3 linked regions of the Ovis aries genome follow. The protein of the gene in region 3 purifies or fractionates together with the protein of the main gene of each other region. This does not show direct contact. Links are inferred from orthologs where the notes say so. Each region holds a gene or a part of one and is shown on either strand. Other genes may lie near its edges. The genes, in order: LYAR, SRSF1 and RRP1B.

Region 1 (3,646 bases), on a different chromosome or scaffold from region 3:
GCAATTCACTGAACTGCTCCGTGAGCCCTGATGCGTCTGCAGCTCCGGGGCCGCTGCAGGTGTCCTGCAAACCCCGGGACTCACGGTCAAGCTCCGTCTCTTAAGTAACTGGCCAGGTGGCAGTCCTCCTCCTTTCAGAGGCGAGGTCACAAAGGGACCAAATGGAGGAGGACTGGCTTTCACTCCTGTACAAGCACTCTGCTGAGTTCACGAAGCCTGTAAGACCCAGTCGTAGGCTCAAAGAGTAGTATTTAGGGTATTGAGACTAAACTAAACAACTGGAGTTTTTTCAGGAAGAATTCAGAGATCAAATCATCCAGGCACATGTGGGGGAGGCAGGCGATGAGTTCAGAAAGGACTCAGGAGGAAGGGGGACCAGGACACCTCGCCCTGTCCTACAAGTTCCATCCTATGGTACAGTGTGTTGTGAGCATCAACCCACCAGGGTCTGAGCACCGCAGCCCCAGGCCTGCCCCCTTCAGCTCAGTCTCCGGCTGCTGCCCCGCCTCCACTTCCTAACCAAGCCCGCCCCCTGCATGCACCCCAGCTTCTGGGAGAGAGGGGAGACAGGAGGGAAGGAAGGAAGGAGGGAGGGAGACACACAGTCACCCACCCAGCAGCCCCTCAATCAATGAGTGAACAAACTCACTCTCCATCAGCTTCCTACTTCATTCCAGACTCTCCTCCAATGTGGTCTCCTCAGACACGATTTCACTGCCTCTGTCTTGACAGCGAGACGCTCCCCTCCTTCCCTCTCTGCCCTGTCCTCTGCCTCCCATTTCTTCCTGGCCTGTGTCACCACCCGACATCCCAGCATCAGCTCTTAGAGCAGGTGTTGGTCTCTCCTGCCAGAATACAGCTCTGGAGGGAGGGACCCAGGTCCAAGGAAGGCTGGGTCCACAGGGACCAGGAGCGCTGTGCACTGGGGCAGTGAGTGTTTCACCTGAGAAGGATACAAAGCCTCCAGCCCAGCACCCCCAGAGCCTTGGCACCATCTCCACCTCCGACTCCGGGCACATGCCAGGACGTTCACTGGCCAAAAGCAACGACAAGCTACATTTTGCAGAGCTTAGAGTTTACCACGAGCTGCTTACTGGTTATCTTATTTAATTCTTATATATTCACAGCTTCAAAAATGAAATTGGAAAACTCTATTTTTTGGACTCTGGAGTTAAGCTAAATAACCACAAACTTTTATGACTGTTAATTAAAATAATGGAAGTGATCATGAAAGTCACTCAGTCGTGTCTGACCCTTTGCAACCCCATGGACTATACAGTCTGTAGAATTCTCCAGGCCTTTCCCTTCTCCAGGGGATCTTCCCAACCCAGGGATCGAAACCAGGTCTCCTGCATTGCAGACGGATTCTTTACCAGCTGAGCCACAAGGGAAGCCCCAAATAATGGAAATAACCTTTAAAAAAACAGGTGCCACACAAGTGCCAATTGAATGATTGGTTATAAGGTTTCAAGGGCCAGTTTGTGTGTTTAGAGACAAATGCTAGATGCATGCCAAGAGAAAGTTTCATTTTTTATCCCAATTTGTGGTCAAAACCATTCTCTCTGCATAAAGCACATCAACTGCTGACAACTGTGAGGAGAATAAAAGACCAGTTGGACCCCACTGTTGTTCTGAAACACTAATAATGTCTTCAGATGGGATATAAGCCCCAAGTAGGGGCAAAGTGCAACTGAGTTAATGAGAAAAAATGTTGAACAACGGAAGCAAGGACATGCCTACAAGATGTCACACTACAACTTTCTGCAGGTGTATTTCACATCTGGGGCCTCGTGGATCAAAACATCTTCTCGGAAGGTGGTCTACTGATGTGCTCCAAGCAATCCCTCTGGCCACCGGAAGGAAGAAGACCAGCACCGACCAAGCGCCCACGCCCTGCTGGGCATGAGCTGGGAGGCTTGTACTCCCTCATCTGCTTTAATACTAAGACACGTCCCCTCACCCCACACCTACCAGAATACCTGGTCACCCTCTCTCATCCTCACCCTGTTTATTTTTCCCTCCTGCCACTATCACCCTCCTGAGATGTTTTTCTGTTTTTTGTTCAGGGCCTGACACGTATTGGGCACAGTAAGTACTGGGTCTTTTGTGTTGTTGCTTAGTCGCTAAGTCACGTCCAACTCTTTTGTGACGCCATGGACTGTGTAGCCCACCAGGCTCCTCTGTCCATGGGATTTCCCAGGCAATAATACTGGCGTGGATTGCCATGCCCTCCTCCAGGGGATCTTCCCGACCCAGGGATCAAACACAGGTCTCCCACACCGCAGGCAGATTCTTTCCACTGAGCCACCTGGGAAGCCCCTACTTAGTCTAACGATCCACCTCTATTTAAGACAAGGAAACAAAGGCTCAGAGAGGTTAAATAAAATGTCCGAGAGCAAACGCCTGGTGAACAGCAAAGCAAGGATTCAAATTGGGTCTGTCAGAAACCCAAAGCATCTGTTCTTTTCCAATCATCCCACTACTTGGTGTCTAAGCCGATCAAGTCTAGTCAGCTGGTATTGCTATCAAACATCGGGATTGTTTGATACTGTTGTCACACATCGGGATTAAACACCTTTCTCTGCACAATAAGGAAATCTTCTCTGCAGTGCAGTCAGTGTATTCCTTCCCATTAATGAAGGCACAAAGAGGCTTTCTGAAAAAGAAGGCTGTCTTGACCTCCAAAAATAAGACATTCCCATTTCATTTTTACTAACCACTTTTGCCACACTGCAAGTCTAGAGTGAGATCGGACTTACATTGCTGGAAGCTTCGGAAAAGATATTCCACACCTGCTCCAGGATAGATTCATTATGAACTTTTAAACTGTTCTTCATCCAATTCTGAATGGGTGAAAAAGAAAAAAGAAAAAAACCCCACTTATCCCATATGCTGACAGGTACACAGAAGCTGTCACTGAAGTGCCCGTATCCCCTCCATTCAGGGAAGTCCAGTCAAATACATACCTGAAATTTTGCCCTTTTCCTGGGAACGTTGTCAAAACCACTAATTTGCTCTAACAGTTCCCTCACTTTGGGGCTGACATTGGGTCTTTTTATTAATTCATGAATTTTCTACAGAGAAGGAAGATAAAAGCAATAAACAATCGACAGATGAGTTTCATGAAAGCCAAACTACTGGGTTCACACCTCAAGTCCAGATTCTGGGTTAATGCCTATGTTTACAGATTCAACAGAGTGCTCAAAGTCCAGAGCAATTTATTGTTGCCGTTCAGTTGCTAAGTCATGTCTGACTTTTTGCAACCCCATGGACTACAGCCCACCAGACTTTCCTCTCCACTATCTCCCCATGACTAAGGCAAGAAATAAAAGGCATCCACACTGGAAAGAAAGAAGTAAAATGATCTCTGTTCCCAGATAACATGGTCATCTTACAGGTCAAAAAACCAAAAGATTGCACAGAAAGAATCTTTAGGACTAATTAAGTTCAGCAGTTGCAGTATACAAAAATCAACACTCAGAAATCAAGCTGCATTTCCCTACACTAACAAAGAACAAATTGGAGAGGAAATTAATAAACAATTCAACTTATAATACTATCAAAAAGAATAAAATACTTAGGGATAAACTTAACCAACCAACGAGGTAAACTACATATATACTGACAACTAAAAATTACTGCTGAG
Region 2 (4,192 bases), on a different chromosome or scaffold from region 3:
GGGAAGGTGAGACTTAAAATTATTCCCAACTAGATTATCTACACCAATATGTTGGAATTCTATATTTTGCTTTCATTTTGTCTTTAAAAAATGAAGTAGCAACGCTATATCAGTCACACAGAGGACATGCAGATTTAGCAGTATTGATATTATACTCTATCTGGTTGGAATTAAAGACACCCTGTACCCACATGTACACCAACAGCAGGTCACACATTAACAGTTGTAACTAAGCATTATGACAAATTAGCCAGTTCTTCCCACATTAGTCCCTATTAAAATAAAAAAGGGAAGGGAGCAAAATAGTTACAAAATGGGCAATGTAATTTTGCCACAATTGCCAAGGTTTAAAGAGCAAAGCAATTGTAGCTAAAGGTAACTGCATTAAGATGCTTACAAGTGTTTTATGGTAGATGTATACATAATCAATTTAAACCCTTGCCTTTAGTATAAGGTCAATACTGCCAATTTCATCTGTGACAATAGCACTTGGAGTCATACCATTGCCTCCATTATTGATCTGATCCTCCTCAATCCTCCTTTTGACAATCCTAAAATGATTGAAATGTGCTCCACAATCCTTAATCCAAAGCATTCTTAATCCATCTCTTCAGATATGTCTACAGAAAGACACATGAAAAGCAAGATAAACATAAGAACTTCCCCAGGTAAGATAACCACAAACACCCCCAACATCCCAGTTCACACAAACCAGAGCAGAATAGACATTTACACAATATCACAGTCTGAAGAGCATGGAGAGTTAACTAAATTTAAACAATCCTGGCTATGACATCACTTAAAATACAATTTATCGACATGAGGGGAATGTAGATGTTAGGAGCAAGGGGTATTACACAAGAATGCAATTCAACACTTTAGCCCATTCTGAACAAAACAGTTTGAATTAAAAAATGAAAAGATTGTACTGAATAAAGGAAAACTGTATACAACATGGGTTCTACAAAAAAGTGTCACCAATCATCTTATGTACGAGAGCGAGATCTGCTATGACGGGGAGAATAGCGTGGTGATCCTCTGCTTCTCCTTGGGGAATAACTTCGACTCCTGCTGTTGCTTCTGCTACGGCTTCTGCTACGACTACGGCTTCGAGATCGAGATCTTCCATAACTTGGACTTCTGGGCCCATCAACTTTAACCCGGATGTAGGCAGTTTCTCCCTATTGAATAGACAGAACTTTCGATTGAAAGATCTAAGTTTTCACCTGTCTTCAGGCATGCTGAATGAATACAACGTAATTTAAACCAGAGGCACTTTACTGGGTTTACTTGGACACCCTTGCCTGAATCTTACCTTCAAATTCCACAGTTAAGACCACTGTATCCAATTCTGGCCAATAAAAAGAATAAGTGTATAACCTACCTCATGAGATCTAAACTTAGTGTTATCCAGTTTTCGAACTGCATAGGTCATATCTTCTTTCCGTACAAACTCCACGACACCAGTGCCATCTCGGTAAACATCAGCATAACATACATCACCTGCTTCACGCATGTGATCCTTTAAATCCTGCCAGCTTCCACTTGGAGGCAGTCCTGAAAAAGAGTTTTTTTCAACAATTATCCTAGTATTTCACATTAAAGTTAAAATTTACATTAGAACCAAGACTACTTTAAAATTAATGATTAGTTTTAACATCCTAGGTTAATGATTCAAAATTCTAGAATTAAAAGCCCCAAATTATTTACAAAGTAATGATCTTCATATTCTAGACACTGCAATCTAATTCGTTAAATCTCAAATACAGTAATTCCTGGTTACTAAATTCATCCATGCGACTGAAATAATTTAAAGACCTACCATGAAAGCTAGCATTTGTCAAACTACGCATGCAAGGAAAACTTTAAAGTGTAGGATCTGTCCAAAAGTGACATCGACCCGCGCGGAACGGTCAACTTACCAGAGACAACCACTCTGTTTTCAGAACGCCTGGATGGGGGGCCATAGCGGCCCCGGGGAGCCCCGCCACCTCCACCCCCGCCGCCGCCTCGGCCTGTACCACGGCCACTTCGAGGAAACTCCACCCGCAGACGATATCCATCGTAATCATAGCCGTCGCGACCGTACACCGCGTCTTCCGCATCCCTGCGTGATTACAGAAAGCCGAAGGGTAAGAAAAAGGGCCGGGAGGGGTGGCCACCTCCGTCGGGGAGCCAGCAGCGCCCCGCACATGCGCACCCGGGGTGGAAGAGCCCACATGCGCCGCATAATAGGGACGGCCCCTCCCCCACCCAGAAGCACGCCAGGCTCCCGACCACTACAGCAGCCCTCAGCGCCTCAGTTTCCCGCTCCGAGCCCGCGAGCCGGCTCCGGAGACGCCCGGGGGACCCAGTCACCAGGGAAGCCTCACCGACTCGGCTCCTCACTTCACTCGTGCGCGGCCGACTCGTCTTGCTCCCAACCTCAGAGCCCACGTCCCCATTCTCTCTAAGGCCTTGGAGCACTCCCCAACTACTCCAACCTATATCCTCAAGGCCGCAAGTCCCTGGCCGCCTCACCGCGGGTCCTCGAACTCAACGAAGGCGAAGGGCGGTCCTCCGCGGCGATTCTTCAGGTCGATGTCGCGGATAGCACCGTATTTGTAGAACACGTCCTCAATGTCCTTGGTTCGGATGTCTGGAGGTAAGTTCCCTACGTAGATGCGGCAGTCGTTGTTCCCTGCCGGGCCACGAATCACACCACCTCCCGACATGGCGGCGACGAAAAGCGCGGACTCGAGAACAGGCCTTCCCACCAAGCCTAGCGAACGGCAGAGCGAGCCCGCCGCGACACCACGTCTCCCGCGGCCCCTCCAAAATGGCGCCTTTATCAGCTCGGCGCACGGATATGGGGGGGAGGGAAGAAGAGAAGCGGGAGGAAGCAGCTATTCGATCTCACTGCGCACGCGCAAGAGCGTAACGGGTGTGCAGCGAAAGGGACGCTGGCGCACGCGCGACGTCACCCTCCGCGCGAAGGGAAAAAAGTTCCCGCGTTCCCGTGGTGCCGAGAGCTTTGCAAAGGAAGTGACCGGCCCTGTGGTAAAGATTTAGGGCAGAGCCCTTGTAAAAGAGGGTTATTAATCTTGTCGAGTCCTAAAGAATAATCAGTTTCCCCAGGAATAAGTCTCTTAAAGCAAAGGCGCTTTGGAAGGATTTAGTGAAACCTAGCCTATAGCTTTATCCCACAATGCTCTGCGGGGTTAACGGCCTTGGGCGGGAAAGACGCCCCCGGGGGCGGAGTCAATGGGGGAGGGACTGGGCGGTTGCTCCGGAAACGGGCGCGTCTTAGGAGACTGCGCCCAGTCCGGGAGTCGGCGTTGTCTGTGATTCTGTGCAGAGGCAAGCCATCACTGTGTTTCCGCCTCGTCTCCTGTGAACCTGTGCGCTGCCTAGACGACTGTGTAATATAGGGGAGCCGAGCTTAGATTCCTTAGATTCTACATCAAGTACCGTTCTACCTTCGGTTCAGCACCAAGCTTTGTATATATTTAATAACTACATTCAACACTGCTTGTGTTTGTTAGTGGCGGCGATTCCTGCTCTGACCAATCGTTGGTGGTACCAACCGGGACCCAGATCTCTCTCTTTTTTCATCGCCTATTACTAGGCCCAACGCAGCGGAAAGGTGCATTGAAGGCTGCAGAATGAATGGTGCCTGTTACTTCTCCATCCTTTTTCAAAGAACGAGAAAAAACACACGCGCCTGCGTGTGTGTATGCAGAATCCTGAAGTTCCTTGTTTTGAACTCATTAGCAGGCCTCTCAAGTAATATAAATGAGCCCAATGAACTTGTGAGAACTGCTGTGGCCGCTGGAGACCACAGTTGCTGCTCAAGACTGATCTGCTAGTCAGGTCCAGGGAGATTAGAACTTCTACATTTTTTCCTATAGAGATATCTATTTGAAATCTGGTTTTTTATATGAAATGCTGGAACTTTACATTATTAGTGATGAATTCAAATTAAAACAACAAACCTGCAGTCATAAATATGCTAAAACAGCTAGCTCTGCACCCTAAGGGTAAGGATGATTTTCTTCAGTTTATGTATGTATTTGTAATAGTCCCTCTCCTCAGGGCTGTAAGGCAGTTTTATAAAGATACTATAAAACGTTATTAAAACTAGGTGGAGAAATCTAGGTGCCTTTGAAATTAAAAAGAAAAAAGATGACATGCTTTCAGTTCTATAAGTTGA
Region 3 (3,646 bases):
TTCCAGAGCCTCAGGGGTCAGTGAAACCCAAGGTGGCCCCTGTCACACAATGGTTTTGGCAAGTCTCTGGTGTTCCTGACTGAGAAGTTTGTCACCTTCCTCTGGAGGGAACCTGGAGCTGCAGACCTGGGCCAGAATGCTGCCCCTTGTGGAGGAAGACCTCCCCAGACCCTCCAACCATCTCCAAGAGGGGCTGCCAGGGAAAAAAGAAAACTTCTCAGATGTTCTCAGTTAAGGAAGATGAGCAGCAATGACCACTGGGTGGTGGGCAGAGGCTGGAGAGCCCCGGGGACGTGACACAGGTGCTCCAGTGTCAGGGAAGGCCTGAGGTGGGAGTGGACTTCCTGGATCCCAGCTGAATGGGTTTTTGCCCTCAGACCTCCCACTGACCCCTCGGAGGTCCTGCGCTGTGAGGCCTGGCACAAGTTGTGCCCGCGTCCTGGGGAGGTCTTCCTCCACAAGGGGCAGCATTCTGGCCCAGGTCTGCAGCTCCAGGTTCCCTCCAGAGGAAGGTGACAAACTTCTCAGTCAGGAACACCAGAGACTTGCCAAAACCATTGTGTGACAGGGGCCACCTTGGGTTTCGCTGACCCCTGAGGCTCTGGAACAGGAGCGGGCTCTGCAGAAGTGCTGCAAAAAGCAGGAGCCGTGGGCACGCATGCTAGGCAGGGCAGGAGCTGGCGCTGGGAGGCCCAGGGGGTCATGCATCCAGCCGCGCAGGCTGTGAGGACTGCCTCTGCAAGGAGTGGAAGCAGCCCAGGGAGATGACGGCTGCCCTGCATGGGCGCAGCCACACGCATGCATGAGGAGGAGGGCGAGAGCTGCACACCCAGAGTCTGAGCCCTTCTATCTGCTCCAGAGAGCCAAGAGGAGCAAAGCTTCCAGTGAAGAAGAACAGGGCTAAGAGTCTGGGGCTTCTCCTGCCAGTAGAGCCCAGGACTGGCCAGGAGCTGGAGGAACATGAGCTCCGCATGTGATGGGGGCACCCTGCCTGTTCACTCCATGGAGGTGGAGTGCCCACTGGGCCACTGGGGCGATCCCCCAGCCTGATGCTGGCCCTGTCACACCTCTGATCACTGGGGATGGGGGTGGGAGGGGAGGCACTGGACGCCTCTGAGACAGGTCACTATTTACTCCTTGGTAGGTGTTAGGAGCCATGACGGCTCCTGGTCCAGGGTCTGACTGCCCCCTGCCCTGGGGCCGAGGGGGCGGGGCCCTGACACTCCTGCCTGGGAGCCCCCCTCTGCCTTACCAGGGCCGGGATGAGCTTCATTCCTCTGGGCTCCACTGAGTTTGACATCTCCTTCATTTTCTTCCTCTTTTTCAAAATGGCAGCTTTCTGAGCGCACGAGTCATAAAGGTCAAGGCCGCTGGGCCCTCCACTCTTTTTCTTCAGTTTCCCACCTGGGGGCAGGGAGGTGGGGCAGTCCCTTCTGTCTGCTGGGTTGGCAGGGGGCCCTTCCCTCTGGGGTGGGGGCCAGGCCAGCACAGGCAGGCCACTGCCGTTGACCAGCAGGGCTCCCAGCTCCCGCCTCTTCTTCAGGACAGGGGCACCACTGGCTGGGGCCGCCTGAGGGGCCACCCCCTCCAGAGATGATGCTGTTGACTCCAGGCCCTCCACCTGGATCCTTGGGCTCCTCTTCCTGGGCCGTTTCCTTTTGTTGTGTGAGGAGGGCAGCTCCGAGCTGCTCTGCTCCAGGGTGCCGGGCATGGCCAAAATTCCCAGCTCAGCCCCACTCTCCTCTGGGGCTCTTTTGGGACTGGCCTCTGGCTCCTGGCTCCCATTCTGTACTGGGCGCGTGGCTTCCCCACTGGGCCCTGTGCATTCAGCCTGGAGTTGCTTCTTCTTCTTCTTCCTCCTCTTTTTCTTTGGAATGCCACCTTTGCTCTCTTCCTTGGCAGGGGAAAACGTGGTTCCTAGAGACACAAGTCAGTCAACAAGTGCCCAGTGCCCAGGGGACCTGCCAGGGTTGGGGGTACCCACAGCATGTCGCCAGTCCCCGCCAGGCCCTTCTCTGTGTCCTTGAACCCCACAAGCTTTCTCACTTCCCCATCTCTTCCCCTCCTCAACCATACCCGGAAAACTTCCTGAGGCCTATTTTGATGTAAATAGATCTGAAATAGGATTCAGATTCCTACTTATTTTCAGGCCCATATCTGGTAATAAAACAAGTGCCCCGAAGGGCAACGTCCACCTAGGACGTCCACATCCCCACCCTCTTCCTGCATGGGGAGTCCGCTATGCTTCCACTTCAGCAAGGCTGGAGCACGGTCCCCAAACAGCACAACAGCTGGAGAGACACTCTCTATACATCTCGGCCCTTCAGAGTGATGGCTCTCACTCTGCAGTGGCCTGTGTGGATATGAAAGGTGCTCCCTGGGCCATACTGGCCCACCGCGTGCTGACCGAGAGCTCTGCAGCTCACCTTTCCCTTCTGCCATGTCTGTCTTCTCCAGAAGTTTATTCCCTTTCTTCCTATGTGTTCCTTGACTGCGGGTCTGGTCATCTTCGTCAGCAGTGGTATCCTCAGCAAAACTGAGGTGAGAGAGACTGCCTGCTGGACACCAAAGACAACGTCTGGTCAGCTTTCTGAGACAAACATGGCCCTGCCCCCATGTGGGTAATTTCAACTCTGATTCCTGCCGAGTCCCTTACTGCTTCTCCACCCCCAACCTGAAAAGTTGCTGCTGCCGGAATTATAGACTATGCTCTGCAGGTTTCTTAGCTGAGGTGAGGTCAGGGACTGTAGACCCAGGGTGACAGCCTCTAGAGCTCACCCCACAGGGTTCGGATGTGCCACCTCCACATCTCGGCAAGGCCTGTGGGACCCCCATTTGAAGCACCCCAAATGCACAAGAGGCGGGGGCAGCAGACACACCCACCTGGCTCAAATGTAACCCAGCTTCCAAGGAGCCGTTCCCCTCCCTGACCCCGGGGGTACTGGAGGGAAGGGATGGAGGCCGACTGATCCCAATGAGAGAGACTCTGACATTGACCTTTTTTCTTCAGGAAGGCTCAAGCTGGAATCCACCTGTTAATCCCCACCAGCCCCACCCCAACAAGAAGAATGGCGCCCAGCTCCATGGTGCCCATGTTCATTGAGAACATCACCAATTACAATCTTCTGATTTTCCTCACCTTCAGAGAGATCTTGGAATCTGAAAAAGAAAACAACAAAGTTTCCTAAAGAAACTGCATCTTCCTGCCCCCCATAAACACATGCACTAACCTTTTACGATGTAAGATATGCTTTTCCTTAAAATCTTTACTGAGATATATAATCCACATACCAAACAATTCACCCATTTAAAGTGTACAATTCAATGCTCTATTATCAATGTATGTTTTTTCTTTTCCAATTTTCAACATATTTTTTATTACAGTATAGATGATTTACAATGCTAATTTCTTTTGTATGGCACAGTGACTCAATTATACACATGTAAGTTATTTTTCAAATTCTCCTCCATTATGGTGTATTGTAGGATATTGAACACAGTCCTCTGTGCTATAGGTTAGGACCTTGTCATTTTCCACTCACTATGTAAGAAACTAACGTGTAAGGGACACCTGGAGTCTGTGAAGTCACTTTCCTTCCTCTCCAGAAAGGGTGGTAGAGAAGGAAGGAGGTGAGGTAAAGGCCAG

What was found.
Region 1: the proteins of RRP1B (region 3) and LYAR purify together in Homo sapiens (co-immunoprecipitation; 3 studies listed by IntAct, with this or other methods). This does not show direct contact. The link is inferred for Ovis aries from reciprocal best matches to the Homo sapiens genes RRP1B and LYAR.
Region 2: the proteins of RRP1B (region 3) and SRSF1 purify together in Homo sapiens (co-immunoprecipitation; 3 studies listed by BioGRID and IntAct, with this or other methods). This does not show direct contact. The link is inferred for Ovis aries from reciprocal best matches to the Homo sapiens genes RRP1B and SRSF1.

What each region holds. Positions count from the first base shown.
Region 1 is NC_056059.1:105,504,154-105,507,799, reverse strand, and holds part of LYAR (cell growth-regulating nucleolar protein), read right to left. Parts: intron 3,075-3,646; coding exon 2,967-3,074; intron 2,844-2,966; coding exon 2,760-2,843; intron 1-2,759. UniProt on the Homo sapiens protein: Plays a role in the maintenance of the appropriate processing of 47S/45S pre-rRNA to 32S/30S pre-rRNAs and their subsequent processing to produce 18S and 28S rRNAs. Also acts at the level of transcription regulation.
Region 2 is NC_056064.1:8,495,223-8,499,414, forward strand, and holds the start of SRSF1 (serine/arginine-rich splicing factor 1), read right to left. Parts: upstream 2,824-4,192; 5' UTR 2,715-2,823; coding exon 2,521-2,714; intron 2,108-2,520; coding exon 1,923-2,107; intron 1,558-1,922; coding exon 1,385-1,557; intron 1,182-1,384; coding exon 987-1,181; 3' UTR 1-986. UniProt on the Homo sapiens protein: Plays a role in preventing exon skipping, ensuring the accuracy of splicing and regulating alternative splicing.
Region 3 is NC_056054.1:264,427,078-264,430,723, reverse strand, and holds part of RRP1B (ribosomal RNA processing protein 1 homolog B), read right to left. Parts: intron 3,160-3,646; coding exon 3,140-3,159; intron 2,559-3,139; coding exon 2,427-2,558; intron 1,918-2,426; coding exon 1,253-1,917; intron 1-1,252. UniProt on the Homo sapiens protein: Positively regulates DNA damage-induced apoptosis by acting as a transcriptional coactivator of proapoptotic target genes of the transcriptional activator E2F1.